Elephas maximus indicus: one gene and its partner. The protein of the gene in region 1 purifies or fractionates together with the protein of each later gene. This does not show direct contact. Links are inferred from orthologs where the notes say so. Each region holds a gene or a part of one and is shown in the gene's direction. Other genes may lie near its edges.

Region 1 (8,198 bases):
GAACAAGGGCAGGGGCCGACTGCGGAAGAGATCATCAATTGCTCACATGCAAGTTCACGTTGAAACTGAGGAAAACCAGAACGAGTCCAGGAGAACCAAAGTATGACCTTGAGAATAACCTACCTGAATTTAAAAACTATCTCAAGAATATATTTGACATGTTGAATACTAATGACCAAAGACCAGATGAGTTGTGGAATGACATCAGGGACATCATCCACGAAGAAAGCAAGAGGTCATTAAAAAGACAGGAAAGAAAGAAAGACCAAAATGCATGTCAGAAGAGACTCTGAAATTTGCTCTTGAATGTCGAGCAGCTAAAGCAAAAGGAAGAAAAGATGAAGTAAAAGAACCTGAACAAGAGATTCCAAAGGGCAGCCCGAGAAGACAAAGTATTATAATGACATGTGCAAAGAGCAGGAGATAGAAAACCAAAAGAGAAGAACATGCTCAGATTTCTCAAGCTGAAAGAACTGAAGAAAAAATTCAAGCCTCAAGTTGCAATAGTGAAGGATTCTATGGGGAAAATATTGAATGATGCAGGAAGCATCAAAAGAAGATGAAAGGAATACACAGAGTCATTATACCAAAAAGAATTGGTCGATGTCCAACCATTTCAAAAGGTAGTATATGATCAGGAACCAATGGTACTGATGGAAGAAGTCCAAGCTGCACTGAAGGCACTGGCAAAAAATAAGGCTCCAGGAATTGATGGAATATCAATTGAGATGTTTCAACAAATGGATGCGGCACTGGAAGCACTCACTCATCTATACTAAGAAATTTGGAAGACAGCTACCTGGCCAACTGACTGGAAGAGATCCATATCTATGTCTATTCCCAAGAAGGTGATCGATCCGAATGCAGAAATTATCCAACATCACTAATATTACATGCAAGCAAAATTTTGCTGAAGATCATTCAAAAGTGGCTGCAGCAGTATATTGACAGGGAACTGCCAGCAATTCCGGCAAGATTCAGAAGAGGACGTGGAACCAGGGATATCATTCCTGATGTCAGATGGATCCTGGCTGAAGGCAGAGAATACCAGAAGGATGTTTACCTGTGTTTTATTGACTATGCAAAAGCATTTGACTGTGTGGATCATAATGAATTATAGATAACATTGCAAAGAATGGGAATTCCAGGGCACTTAATTGTGCTCATGAGGATCCTGTACCTAGATCAAGAGGCAGTTGTTTGGATAGAACAAGGGGATACTTTGTGGTAAAGTCAGGAAAGGTGTGCGTTAGGATTGTATCCTTTCACCACACCTATTCAATCTGAATGTTAAGCATATAATCCGAGAAGCTGGACTATATGAAGAATGGGGCAACACAACAGGAGGAAGACTTATTAACAACCTTTGATATGCAGATGACACAACCTTTCTTGCTGAAAGTGAAGAGGACTTGAAGCACTTCTTGAAGATGATCAAAGATCACAGCCTTCAGTATGGATTACACCTCAACATAAAGAAAACAAACATCCTCACAACTGGACCAATAAGCAACATCATGATAAATGGAGAAAAGAATGAAGTTGTCAAGGATTTCATTTCACTCGGATCCACAATCCACAGCCATGGAAGCAGCAGTGAAGAAATCAAGAGACACGTTGCATTGGGCACGTCTGCTGCAAAAGACATCTTTAAAGTGTTGAAAAGCAAAGATGTTACCTTGAAGACTAAGTTGTGCCTGACTCAAGCCATGGTATTTTCAATCGCATCACATGCATGCGAAAGCTGGATGATGAATAAGGAAAACTGAAGAAGAATTGATGCCTTTGAATTGTGGTGCTGGAAAAGAATACTGAATATATCATGGACTGCCAGAAGAAGGAACAAATCTGTCTTGTAAGAAGCACAACGAGAATGCTCCTTAGAAGCAGGGATGGTGAGACTGTGTCTTATACACTTTGGACATGTAGTCAGGAGGCATCAGTCCCTGGAAAAGGACATTATGCTTGGTAAAGTACAAGGTCAGCCGAAAACATGGATTGACACAGTGGCTGTAACAATGGGCTCAAGCAGAACAACCATTGTGAGCATAGTGCAGGACCAGGCAGTGTTTCGTTCTGTGGTACATAGGGTCACTATGAGTTGGAATCGACTCGATGGCACCTAACAACAAGTTTCCCGTTTTAAATCTTTTAGTTTTGTTTTATCCTTCATTATTGTATCCCTTCACTTAAGGTTCAGGGTTCCAGGATTGACCGTCTCAATCCGTTTTGCTTTTTCAGGTCTTTATTGCAGCTGGATGGCTTAGTGTATCTGACTGGTCCGCCATCTTGGTTCTGCCTTCTTCATCTTTACTCTTGAGGAATCATTTACTGTGAACAGAATTCTAGTTCCATCCTTATTTTTTTCTCAGCAGTTTAAGTATAATATCCCATTATTTTTTGCTCTTCTCTTCAGAATTTTGTATCAAACTAATTGCTATTCTTTTGTAAGATATTTTCTATCATCTATTGCCAGTTGCCCTGGGGTTATTATCAGCCTTGGATCACTTTCTACTAATTTTTCAACTTGGGTAGTTCCTGGCCCCTGCAGGAATTAAAATTTGAATTCCAAACCATCTCAGGACAGGCCTGTGGTTAGGAATTCTTAGAGTTGATACTTTTAGCTACAGCTCACCTGCAGGAATCCAGAGGCAGAGAGACAAGCTTATTGTACCTTCCCAGTGCTGAGGGTGTATTTTTTCTTGTCTGAACTTTTATGTTATTATTGAGCAAGTAGTTCTTCAAAGGTTTCAGCTTTAAGGGGAGGGGGAGTTTCAGTTTAACTAGCCCACTTCGTGAAGGCACAAGGCCTCAAGTCTTGCTGCCGAGTGACCTTTAAACCCATTCAATCAGACATACAACCTCCCCCTCTTTCTGCTCTCTAGCCCCAACATTATCTCAAACTTATTGCACAATGATTTTGTTCCCTCTTCATTTTTGGCCACTGGAGATTTCCTGTATTTTTCTGAGATCTAAGCTACCCACTTAAACAAATGCTTGTTATGATTTGGGTGGCATTTCTAGGTGTTTTGCTCTCAGGTCTGTGTGGCCTGTCAGAATGCCCCACATCCTTTCTTTGCTCAAGAGTATTCTTGATTAGGAATCTACCTTCTTTTATACCAATCCTGTCTTTCTGAAACTACAATCCTATAATTAACCTTGATTTGACATGGTTCTTTCTCAGTTCTCCCCAAGCATACATTTACATACTGTTTCTTAGAATTCTCCAGATGACTCATTCTATCTTTTATTGAGCCATTTTCTTGTGAAGATGCAAGATATTTGGATGGGGGAGGGGAAAGGCTAGAACCTAAACTGAGGCTCTTTAACCTTATTCTCTAGGTGGGATGTCATTACATCCGAGTGCACCTCACTCATATAATTCTATTTAAAAACATTTAGAAGTATACAAGTAACATACAAATATTCTTTTTTGTTTAAAAATAAAAGATACAAAATAAACTCAAAGTCCCTTTTCAACACTGTCCCTCTCGCTCCCCTTTCTAGAGGTAACTATTATCAGTGTTTTCAGGACATCTTTGCAGTGCCATTTCTATACATTTTCTTTTCTCTCAGCTGTATATACACCTATACATTTTCTTTTTACAGAAACGATACCCCCTTATTTTACAGATGAGGAAACTAAGTGGGACCCTGAGGGGAAAAATGTGTAGACAAATTTATTGAAGGAAAGCCAACGGAAAAATCATTTATTAATACCCTACTATGAACTGGTCTCTACTTCTTTGGAACAAAATACAATGAAGGAAACCAAGGACTCAAAGAAGCAACTAGCCCACATGAACCATGGTCTCATCTAGCCTGAGACCAGAACTACATGGTGCTTGGCTACCACAACCATTATTACCAGGGACACAATAGAAGATCCCAGGTGGGTTGGCAGAAAAATGTGGAACAAAACTCAAATTTCTAAAAAAAAAACACCAGACTTGCTGGACCAAGAAAGACTAGAGAAACCTCTGAGACTATCTCCCTAAGATATGCTTTGAACTTGGAACTGAAGCTACTTCCACATAAAAGATAGGCTTATAAAATAAACAATATCACCTGTGAGTACTGTGATCCCTTAAATAATCAACTACCTGAGATCAAACGGTCAACATTTACCCTAAAGCAAGGATGAGAAGATAAGGAGGGGCAGGGAAGCTAGATTTAGTGGAAACAGAACAAACAGAATGGAAATGACGAGAATAGTGACACATTGTGTAACCAATGTCAGGAAACAATCTGTATAAAAATTGTTAAATGGGAACCTACTTTGCTGTAAACTTTCACCTAAAACACAATAAAATATTATTTTTTAAAAACCCCTACTACGTGTCAAATCCTGCACCATGCTATCTTGGCATGAAAGGTTCTGGTATTTTGCTGGATAGGGTCGCTGCACTAGGTTAGGGAAAGCAATTAGTTTAGACGTTGGAGAACCTGTACGAGTGGCTTCAGTGTTGATGATATAGGATTTGGATTTTGGTGGGAGCTTCAGCAAACCTAGCAGAGGGGTTGTGGAGCTGCAAAAAAGAAAAAAAACAACAACAAAAAACCCTGTCACCGGTAGTTGGGTCTGTCACTAAAGCTTGTCAAGTTGAATCGCGAGGAACCTGCTACCTGGCGAGTCCGAATCTTCCTCTGGAAAGCAGGAGCTCATACCGTGTCTACCAGGCTGGCCTTGGAGTTTGGAGAGGGAGGCACCAGAGGCTGCAAGAAGGATGCGGCGAGCAGACAGCAACCGAGCAGCCAATCCGGAGAGCAGAGAGAGCGCTCCCGGACCGGTCGGGAAGTGCGCCTGCGCTCACCGCTCAGCGGGCCGGGAGGGGCGGAGCATGGGGATGGTCAATGAGCCTGCGCAAACGGCGCTGCGAGGTGGGGGAGGGCGGTCCGTGTGTGTCTGTGTTGTTGTTCGGCGGCAGCGGCGGCGGCGGTAAGATGGCTGCCCACGGGGGCTCCGCCGCGTCCTCGGCGCTGAAGGGGTTAATTCAGCAGTTCACCGCCATCACCGGTAAGAGACGCGGTTACCGGAAGGTGCAGAGCGGGGTCCGGGGCGGGCGGCGGGTCTGCCCCGGGCTTTCTTCTGCCTTCATGCATTCCTCCCTCGGGCTTTACTCAAAGCTCCCGTCCTCCCTCCTGAGGAAGAGGCGACGACGGCGTCGGGGTCTCCGGGTTCAGGCGGGAGGCGGCCCCCCCGCTGCCCACATTCTCGCTCGTGGTCTCCTCGCAGTGTGGAGGGGGACCCTTCACCCCTGCCAGCCCGGTCCCGGCGAGTGGGCCGAGCCCATCCGTCCCCGCCGGCCCGGGGGCCTGGGGGCGGAAGGAGTGGGGGGCCGCACCCGGGCCACCGCCCTCCTCCTCCTCCATCATCTTCCTCTCTTCTCTGGCCAGCTCGGGGGCGGAGTGCGTCCCCTCAGCTCCTCTTTCCCGGCTCCCCGGCCGGGTCATTCTCCCCCGTCCCTGGCCTGCCCTTCCCCTGGCTGGGCCCCTCGGAGCCATCGCTGTGGCCCTGGCTGGTTCGGGCCCTCCCGCCTTCACGGCGAGGCTAGTGGCTTCGGCAGCGCCTTCACGGATCCGGGGAGATCGGCCGCCAGGAAGGGGGCGGCTGAGAAGCACCTTAGGAACTGGGGTTTTAAGAGTAAAATGAGGGGATCCCCTCCACAAGCTTAATTGTGAAGGCCTGGAGGAATCCTGGCTGGCGTTTCCCACCTCCCTATAATAAAACCCCAAAGACCGAGGCGATGGCGCCGGGGCCTCCCGCTGCTCACATAGGGATGGCGGCAGAAACTTCGCCGAGAGGAAATCTCTCTCTGGCTGTCGGTATCCCTCAGACCCTAGGCCTGGGTTTTTCTTTTTTTGGACCCCTGCGAAGGGCACACGCAGATCCTCTCACCGCCTGGGGGAAAGGCCCTAAGCCATTCTCTGTATTCCCTGGGTCTTGGTTTCTCTCTGATGGTGCTGAACTTTTTTTGCATGAGTTATTAGAGGGCGGAGCAAATGATGAAGTTCTCTGTGGAGTGATTTGAGAGGAGAGTACTCCATGTGCCGGGGTGTAATTTTGCAGCTCTAGTTTGTCATTTTGGAAAGAGGTCAGAATGTTAGTTCTCTCGCCTAGCAGATCCTCTCTCTGATGCTTTGTTAAATGCGGACGATCCTTTCACTGTTAATGTTTCTCAGAGTTTGTCGTGCAAGATCTGGCTAAGGAAAATTTTACATTGTTTTACCCAATACAGGTTGTATGCTAGTTATCGTTGGATAATTAAAGCTCCTTTTATTTTTTTTTTTAACTCTGCAACGGTAACTAGATGTTTGATGCATTGTTATCTAGCTCCTGCGCATGCAGCAGTGGGTCAAAGTTGGTAAAGTAAAATTTGTAATAAAATCGGAGTGGGGAATGGAGTGATAATTTTCATATTCATAATTTAAAATATACTAAAGGTGTAATGCCATTACCTCCCGAAGCCACTTTTGTGGGGAAAATTATGTGTATAAGTTAACATGTACTGCATTATGTTTATATAGGAAAATCTTTGTAGTGAATCGGTTATAGAGTATCATTAATAATCCTTTTTTTAGGTTTATTAGAGGTAGTTTAATATGACACTTATTTAATTTCAGTTTTTTCTGCAGAGAAACTGAAATTAAATAAATGGACTCAGGAACACTTATTGCTTTAACTTCACATTATCTCTTGTAATGAACATTTTTGTTAGATATAGACAAAATCTGAAGTGTGATGAGGTGAACTGACTCACTGAACTGCCTTTATTCTGTCTCTGTTTGCTAGTCTATACTGCCTGTTTCCTGGTCACAGGCGTTTCTATTTCTGAATCAGGTTGGATTCTCTCAGTAGACAATGGTATCTAGAATTCTGCAAAAGCAGAAATACCTTAGATTGTTCCTAATCTATTGTGAATTGTTATTAATAATTTTTTTAGATTCTTTCAACGAGGTTATGATTACCATTAGAAACACCTGATTGATCCCTCCACCCCTTTTCATGTATCTAAAAAATAAATTTGGGGGTTATCTTCACATATATTGTAAACAGTAGTGTTTATGATAAGAAGGTAGTTGTTTTTTATGCATTGCTGGGTGAATTAGGCTGACCTTAAAAAAAATTTTTTTTTTTTAAGAGCTTATGCTCTGATTTTGAAAAGGTTTACTTACCTAGAAGCTCAACATTCTGATACAAGCAACTAATTCAATGGCATTTAGAAATAGAAAATTGAAAGATTTCTTAGTAAATCTTATTTCTTACTAAATAAAACAAATTTCTCTATAGTACGTGTGTATGAAGGAATGAATCTGATTTTTAAAATTTTTTAATTATTAAAAAGATGACAAACATGAAATAGTTTGGAAAAAGGGAAAAAAACTAATTTTCCACTCTTACATCAATATTATTTATTTTATTATGGTCTCTTCCAATTCTCGTTTACATACTTATTTTTTGCATTATAGATTGTACTGTACATAATTTAGAATTCTAAATTTTTCACTTAACGTTACACCGTACGCATTTTTCTATGATTGCGCTCTCTGACAAGCAGGTAGCCAAGGAAGTGATGTTCTTTGAAGTAATCATGTTAAGACGCTGTGTACCACCACCACTGATGCCTTCAGAGCTGTTTAAAGCTACATAAAATAAGTTCTTTTTAGTCATACCCCATTTTACAATATTACTTGGTTTGATAGCCCTTGATATTCATCACACATGACTTTGAATGACTGTTGGCTACTTTTAGAAGTCTTATCAGTTCTCAAAACATGAAAGAATATGCTGCTGAATCTGAAAGGAATTTCAAAAGAACAATTTAAAAAAATATTTTGAATCATGATAGTATCCCATTAACACTAACTTGGGCTGACATCCAGCCACACGTATACAAAATGTACAAATACAATCAGAATAGTTCATGAGGTGAAGGGTCTGGAGACCATTATAGAATAGGTAAAAAATAAACAGGCAAATCAGAAGGTAAGGACAAAATGTGGAGGCTTAGAAGAGTACAACAGGTTGATATTATAGAATTCCTTAATGCTTTGTGCATAGTAGGCATAAGCATATTTCACGAAATTATAGCACCTCCGTTGTAGAAAATACCTAAGCTTTATCTTTTTTTCTAAAATTGTTGAATGGATGCATATTATAAAAATTAGAAACTGGTGCATGTATTTATTTGGCTTTG
Region 2 (8,056 bases), on another chromosome or scaffold:
AAAGTATGCCCCCAGACACGCTTTCAGCTCAGTAATGGTGCCACTCCTGAGGTTCATCCTTCAGCCAAAGATTGAACAGGCCCATGGAACAAAACAAGATAAAACAAGCCCTGGGGCAGGGACTGGAAGGTAGGAGGGTACAGGAAAGGTGGTAATAGGGAACTGAGGGTTGAGAAGGGAGAGTGTTGACTTGTTGTGGGGTTGTCAACCAGTGTCATACAACAGTGTGTGTACTATTTGATCAGAAACTACTTTGTTCTGTAAACCTTCATCTAAAGTTCAATTAAAAAAAAGAGTAAAAAGATATATATATTTCTTTCTGTGTGTAAACCTTTTCTTGACTGTTTACAATAGTGGTCTCATATAATATTTGTCCATTTGTGATTGACTTATTTCACTCAGCATGATGTCCTCTAGATTCGGTCACATTGTGAGATGTTTTGCAGGTTTGTCATTATTCTTTACTGTTGTGTAGTATTCCATCGTGTGTACCAGTTTGTTTACTCATTCATCCGTTGGTGGGCATTTAGGTTGTTTCCATCTTTTTGCTATTGTGAACACTGTTGCAAGGAACAAGGTTCTTTTCCATTATCAACCTAGACTAGATCTAAAATGGGCACTAGGAAGCATGCCTTCCTTGGGGGAGTTGCACAGCCTTCAAAGCCTGCCTTCTGCTTATAGAAGGTTGATTGCCAGAGGTCATTTTAAGCTAAAACATTCACAGACTTTTATAGTTTTGTGTATTTGTTTTCTTTAACCATCTAATTCCCTCAAACATTTGGTAAGCGTAGAAAGAAAAATACTTGGTAAGCATCTAATCTGTTTGCTTCTAGCCAGTTCCATATGCTAGTATTTGTTCTTTCTACACATCATTATCATCAAGTTCTCTGATTTCTTTGCTGCTTTACCCTTACAGGTATCTCTGTTAACTTAGTGGCAGCTATGTGGAGGCCATCTGAAACAGACTGCTTCAAAGGCTACATTCCCTTTAATCTGCTCTTTTCCATAGGGCTGAGTCCCTCTGTTTACTGATTTTTTTTTTTTTTTTCTGTTACTCAGGATATTTTTAGTGTTAACTCTTACTGTTTAGGGATTCAGAAGCAGTCAGATTTTTCAGTACTGCAAGGTCTTGAATTTTTGGATTCTCTCCATTTTTATTTCTGCTCTTAAATCAGCCACTTCTTGATTGAGGTCATCTTTCCTAAAGTGCATTGCCAAGGCAGCCAGTAGTAGCCAAACACATACCATAACTTTTTTTAAGCTACTTCTAGAGCAGTCTGCTTCCGTTATTATAGGAGACATTTTGCCAAATACTTTGCCGCTAACTCTTTGTTTCCATTTTTTAGCTCTCAGTGCCATTGCCCTTGCTGCTAGACTGCTAAGCTAGTGCAGTGTAGTTTGATTTTTATTATGGCATCATTTGTACCACATCAAGGTACTAACTTCTGCATTAGGGTAATGCTAGGTGTAGTAGCAACATGTCCCCAAAATGTGTAATGGCTTAAACATAATAAAAGTTTATTTCTTCATTAGGCAACAGTCCTGAACATTTCCAGGTCAGGGAATGGGGAATTGGGGGAGAAATAATTCATTCAGGGATCCAGGCTGACAGAATCAGCTATCTTAAACACAGGGCTTCCAAAGTCTCCAGACTCCAATACACTTCTACTCACATTCCATTGGGTTGAACTCATTCACACTGCTACGCTTAACCTCAATAGGAAGATTAAAACTGCAGAAAAAGAGAAAAATATGGATTTTGGTGAGCAACCTAAAATCTCTTCCATAACCCTCTTTAAAAAAAAAAAACCTTGATGGCTTTTCACTTCCTTTGGGATAAATGTGTTCACATTCCATTTAAGGCTCTCTAGTTTGTTCAGAAAGGAGCCCAGGTAGCGCAGTGGTTAAGCACTTAGCTGCTAACCAAAAGGCTCGTGGTTTGAACCCACCAGCCGCTCCACAGGAGAAAGATGTGGCCGTCTGCTTACGTAAAGATTACAGCCTTGGGAACCGTATGGGGCAGTTCTGCTCTATGCTGTAGGGTCAGTATGAGTCGGAACTGACTCTATGGCAATGGTTTTTTTTTTTTTTAAACTTATTCAAGCCTTTCATTCTACCGTTATCTCTTCCTTTATGTAAATACTTTATTCCAGTAAAAATGGTCCCTTAACTGTTCCCTTCAAACATGCTACATTCCACCATCTTTTTGACACATCCTGTTTTATTTTTATTGTGCTTTAAGTGAAAGTTTACAAACCAAGTCAGTCTCTCATACATACAAAAACTTATATACACCTTGCTATATATTCCTAGTTGCTCACTCTCTGATGAGAGAGCACACCCCTTCCCTTCACTCAGTTTTCGTGTCCATTTGGCCAACTTATGACTCCCTCTATCCTCTCATCTTTTTTTCCAAACAGGAGCTGCCCACATAGTCTCATGTATCTACTTGATCCAAGAAGCTCACTCTTCACCAGTATCATTTTCTATCCCATAGTCCAGTCCAATCCCTGGCTGAGGAGTTGGCTTTGGGAATGGTTCCTGCCTTGGGCTAACAGGTCTGCGGACCATGACCTCTGTAGTCTCAGTCAGACCATTAAGTCTGGTCTTTTTATAAGAATTTGGGGTTTGCATCCCACTGCTCTCCTGCTCCCTCAGGGGTTCTCTGTTCTGTTCCCTGTCAAGGCAGTCATCAGTTGTAGCCGGGCGCCATCTAGTTCTTCTGGTCTTAGGCTGATGTAAATGATTAAAAATCAAAATTCACAATTCTAGAGTTTTTATTGAGTTCTTGAATTTTTATTGAGTTCTCTTTAATTTCAGATGGAATGACTAAGTGTGGTAGAAATTCAAGTATATAGAAAAAATCCCTGTTTCCTTTTGGAAAACTCTTCTCATCCTTCGAAATGCAAATCTCTATCAGTGTGGAGTAAAATGGCCCAGGTTGCTAAAAGCACTTGGTACATCTATGGGTCAAGTGTTTTGTTTCCCTCTCTTTTTTGCCTCTCTCAGCATTATCAAATTTATATGACTAGCTTAGTTTCAACACTTTGTGATTTGTCTTATCTTTTGTACAACTAGAGCATGCTGATATAAAATATTTAGAATCAATTTCATGGTCAGAAGATATACAAGTATAAAAAAAAATAAAAAGTATATTAATAGTTATTATTTGTTGATTGTTCACAATATGCGAAGTACTGAATCAATGCTTTATGAGATAGGGATTGTTATCCCCATTATACAGATGATGACTGAAGCTCAGAGAAGCTAAATAATTTGCCTAAAATTTTACAGCTTGTCCATGAAACGGCCATGATTCTCACCACATGGTTCTGTATCCAAAGCCCACGCCCTTTCTTCCACACACACTGTATCCAGGTTTGAAGACACCTGGACCAGCTGCCCAGCCAATGTCTACATTGTATCTCTAATATCTAAGCCAAGCATTAAACTGGCAATTGCTTAATATCAATTATTGAGAATACATTGATTACGTCCTTATATTGAACCGAAGATGTTTTCCTGCACCTTGTTTTTAGGGATTCTCTTATTTCTTGGGGCTGTTCAAAGTAAGGATTATCTGTTTTTCACTTGGTGAAAACTTTCATGCCCCCTCTGGTTGTTTCTGAATGAAGCTTCCCCTTTAATTTGTACCTTAAGATTTTGAGTACTTGTTCATCTTTAAACAGCTTACACTTTTAAGTCCCTCTTAAGTGTGAATGTCAGAGCTGAACTAGATTTTCCATGTGAGGAATGACCAACACATAGAACAAAGTGGAACTATCACCCCCACAAGATTTTTCTACTAACACATCTTTGTTTTCCTAGGGTGATACAATTCTGGAGACTGGAGAAGTAATTCCACCAATGAAAGACTTTCCTGATCAACATCATTGAAGATTACTTAAACATTTCAAAGATTTATGAGCCCAAGTCCTATAATACCATATTTACTGAGTAATATTTTCTGGAAAAGTAACTTTAATAAAGTAAACTTACAAGTTTACTCCCAGAAATGTGTTGTCATATCTCTACCAAAACATTGTACAGTTTGAGACCCTTTAAATCATTTAAAAATTGTAAAAATTGAACATGCAAAACAAATGATATGAGTGACTGCTCCAGTTGTTCTGGTCATTCCTGAATTGGAAAACAGGATGTAGAAAAGTATTTAGTCACATGATAGAATTTTTCTTATACAGTAACTCTAGTTTGGTCTGAGGGAATGCACCAGAATTAGATACTGCAGTATAACAAATACAAGAAAAAAATCCCGCCCACTTCTGTTTTAAAGAAATCTTTCTGAGCTATTTTAAAGGAAGTATTTTAGAAACTCTAGATTGAAATGCATGGGTTCCATCAATGATCTGATACTCAAAGGCTGTCAGATCTAGGTTACTGATCTGAGTTTTATCATATGAGACTGTAAGACTAAAATCTCTCCAAGCTTTTGAAAAATTAGTGTCTATTAGTGGTTATTATAAAAGGCGATCCAAAAATAAAGTTCAAAATTTTACATTATGGATTTTATTTTTTAATCTAAACAGGTATCAGATAAGGATGAGGTAAAGAATTGTATTTGCAGAGAATTAAATCCAAAGGAATTACAAATTTTCATTCATCTCGAAGATTCTGTCTGGGTATTCCTTCGTTAGCTGTCGTCGTGCAGCTACTGTTGATGCATAAATGACATATCCCCAGGAGAGTAATACGATCGCAACGAGCAACTAAAAAAAAATGTCAGAGGGAGAAAAAGCAAAAAAAAAAAAAATTACTCCTTTGAAGTTACCGTGTACCACTGCAGAAATGGGAATTATAGTGATAAAATAATAAATGGGATTCCGGAGACAAGTACACCCAGCGGCCCTTACGTAAGAAGCGGAAGATCGTGTCCTCCAGGAAGAGGCGGAGTCGAGGTGGAGGGGGGGAGTGCTTAATTCAGTAATGGATTTTGGAGTTTGCGGATGTTGAAGAAATAGAGAACCTCCCGCCTGTGGGCCCAAGGAGTCGACACCGTGGAGCCCCGCCAGACCCGGGACCTACCATTGAATAAATCCAGTCCAGGGTGCGGCGATTCACTGGCTTCATGGTAAGGAGGCGGCGGCGGTCCGCGGGAACCGGCGGAAGATGTGGGCCTAGACTAACCTGCGGGGCGGTGGCTACTGGGCGGCAGCGGCCATCTTTCAGCCGGGTACGAACGCCCTCCCACTAGCCCCCGGGAGCTTTTCCCATTGGCCAGGCCTGCCTCTTCCGCCCTGAGCCGGAGGCGGAGTCAGGTGAAGGGGGCCTAGCCCGCCTGGCAGGGAAGGGATGGAATAAATGAGAAAATAGATTAAAAAATTGCCGCTTAAAGAGGTGTTTTTCGCCAGCCGGTTTTCTTTCCAGTTGGGATGCAGTGCTAATGTAGGATAATGTACTGTCGTGTGCACTTAAACGTTTATTTGAAAAATATCTGCCTTTTAAATATTGCACCGGTATCTAACGCTGGAAGAAAACGTTTTTCCCGCATCTGTTTTTACATAATATAAACGTTTGTATATTCAGCTGCGACGCATACGAGAATACTGTGTACTATTTTATGTAACAGTCATCAGTTAGGCGGGAATCACTGTTAATTGGGCCCTTTAAGAAACGTATAGTCTCTGAGAACGCAATAGGTTTTTAATGTAAATGATACTCGTAAGAAGAAATACGTGGCAAGAACTATCCGGCATAATGCACCAGTGAATCAACAAGTGTTGAGCGTTACGGCCGGTTGTGCTAAGTTTACCTGTAAAATGGGACGCTCACGTTGAGGCCTGAGTGGTGTAGTCTGGCCATGGGCCGTTCTAGGCTGACGTTCTTTATTCATAAATCTCGGATATTAACTTAGACTTTAATCCAAATTTTGGGGAGAGGGTAGGGGGAAAGAAGTTCTTTGAGAGAAAAACCTATCTGTTTTGGAGAGAATTCAGAGCCTATTCTGTGTTAGGCCTTGACTGTTTCTCCTCAAGCTGGAGTAGATCTCTCTCGAGACTATATAAGATACTGATTGGAGTCTGGCTTTGGATCCCATTCGAATCCCGATGTTATTTCCTAGCTGTGCAACCGATGGTCAAGTCACTTTCGGGTAACACTGTGTACCTATATACAATGGAGATAGTTTTTGTAACTTCTCCCAAGTTTCTTGATATTTAAATGAGACCAAGCTAAGGTTTTGTCTAGTTATTTTGTTTTCCGATAATTTAGGAGCGAACATTAAGTTAGTACCCTGTAATCCCTACGATTAATAATAGGAATGATCATGATAGTGATTTCTGCCCGGGATGGTCAGATTGCTCTCACTCCCGGAACGGAGTGGTGGGGGAAGGGCCCAGTCTCGGGCCGGAGCGCATTAAGTGCCGCCCTCAGTGCTGGCGGCTTTCTAACGCGCATGCGTTAAAAAGGCTGGTATAGTGTTTTGACGCGCTGGAGGGGTGGGGTCTCGCTTTCTGACACCGCCTCCAAGCTGCCATTGGTGATGAGCGCTTTACGTCACAGGGGTCGCAGCAGCCGCCAGGGTCTCCGCTGTCTCGCGAGGAGGGTGAAGCGCCCCCGCCCGCTCCGGCTCCTGAGAGTAGGCGGAGAAGTCGCCGGGTACGCCTTCGCGGGTCCTGCCGTCACCGACCCAGCTTTCTGAGCCGTAGGGAGCTAGCCACGAGCGCCCCGGCCGGGTCTGCGCAGGCATCCTCTGGGGTGAGTGGGATCGGAAACAATGGGGCACGGGGGTCGGAAGGGCTGGGCGAACCGGAGGTCCCTCCGGGAGCGAGGCCCAAGGACTTGGGGCCGTGGTCTTGGCCTGCGGGGCCGCCCGGGCCTCAACCGGGCAGGGGTCCGGGCGGGCGGGCGGACTGGCGACTCTGCGGCGCACCTGTGGATTTGCGCCGGTGGGAGGGTGAAGGCTGCGTTTCGAAGGCTCCCAAGGGGCGAGGGGCGCGAGCCTAGCTGTGTACTGGAAAGAGCCTGGTCTCTAGAAAAATAACCGCTGGAGTCTGAATCTTGGCATCGCCACTGACGGGTGTGACCTTGGCCAGGTCCCTTAACCTCTCCGAGCCTGTCTGTAAAATGGGAATAACTATTTTAGTTCGTTGTGATTATGTCCAGAATCCCTGGTAGCGCAGTGGTTAAGCGCTCGGCTGCCAACCGAGAGGTCGGCGATCCCACCGGCTACTCCGCGGGAGAAAGATGTGGCTGGCAGTCTGCTTCCGTAAAGGTTTACTTCTTGAAAACCCTCTGGGGCAGGGTCGCTATGAGTCAGCAGTGGGGTGTGGGATTATGTAATGCATGCGCTGCTTACCTTAGATCCTGGCCCATCGCAGCTCTCACCTAAAGGAAGCGGCTATCACCTTGAATATTGGAGCTGTCTGTTCAGTGGTGTGTATTCTGGGCTGAGCTCGCCTGCCTGTGACTTCTTCAGTCAGTGCAGCTTTCCTTATGGGCAGGAAGGGGACAGTACTGAGATGAGGCAGATAGTGATTTAAAAGTTAAGAGAAAAAATGAATAGAGTTCATAGTAGGTAATTTTCAAGATTATATAAAGTAAGAAACAGCTTCCCAAGAGTTGAGCTAGTATGTGATGAGATTTTTTTTTTTCTCTTTAAACCACTGTAAAGGCTTTACAGTCAGCTAGAACAATCATGCTTATCTGGAATGAATGGCTTTAGAGGGAAAACGGTTCCCAACCAATTCTTTTTATTGCTAGAATTGGCATTAAATGTGGTAGAATCTGGTCAGCAAACCCTGTAACTTCCGTATGATCTTTTGGAATCTGTGATTAAACTGCAGTTCAGAGACTCCTTGAGGTGACAAGAGGTAGGGCCCACATTATTTTTTATACATGGAGGTGCCTTTCTATTTTATCTACTTGTGAACCCTTTTTAGCTACTTTGCCTAGATATATTAAGTACAATAATTATATTATGTATGAAGATTATTTAGCTGTCAACAGCCTATCATCTTGATCCAGTCATTGAAATCAGCTCAGTTATTTTCACATAACATGGGGGAGAGTGTTGAATTCTTCCTGTGCACCAAGCACT

Evidence for each region. Proteins that work in one complex are often made in the same cells at the same time.
Region 2: the proteins of UBXN7 (region 1) and TOPORS purify together in Homo sapiens (affinity purification with mass spectrometry; 4 studies listed by BioGRID and IntAct, with this or other methods). This does not show direct contact. The link is inferred for Elephas maximus indicus from reciprocal best matches to the Homo sapiens genes UBXN7 and TOPORS.

What each region holds. Positions count from the first base shown.
Region 1 is NC_064819.1:17,996,745-18,004,942, reverse strand, and holds the start of UBXN7 (UBX domain-containing protein 7), read left to right. Parts: upstream 1-4,874; 5' UTR 4,875-4,944; coding exon 4,945-5,017; intron 5,018-8,198. UniProt on the Homo sapiens protein: Ubiquitin-binding adapter that links a subset of NEDD8-associated cullin ring ligases (CRLs) to the segregase VCP/p97, to regulate turnover of their ubiquitination substrates.
Region 2 is NC_064827.1:41,737,268-41,745,323, reverse strand, and holds the start of TOPORS (E3 ubiquitin-protein ligase Topors), read left to right. Parts: upstream 1-4,998; 5' UTR 4,999-5,043; coding exon of another isoform or gene 5,044-5,086; coding exon 5,087-5,089; exon of another isoform or gene 5,090-5,227; intron 5,228-6,519; coding exon 6,520-6,714; intron 6,715-8,056. Other genes in the region: NDUFB6 (NADH dehydrogenase [ubiquinone] 1 beta subcomplex subunit 6), read left to right, coding at 3,829-3,897; SMIM27 (small integral membrane protein 27), read right to left, coding at 4,605-4,727, 5,044-5,088. UniProt on the Homo sapiens protein: Functions as an E3 ubiquitin-protein ligase and as an E3 SUMO1-protein ligase. Probable tumor suppressor involved in cell growth, cell proliferation and apoptosis that regulates p53/TP53 stability through ubiquitin-dependent degradation.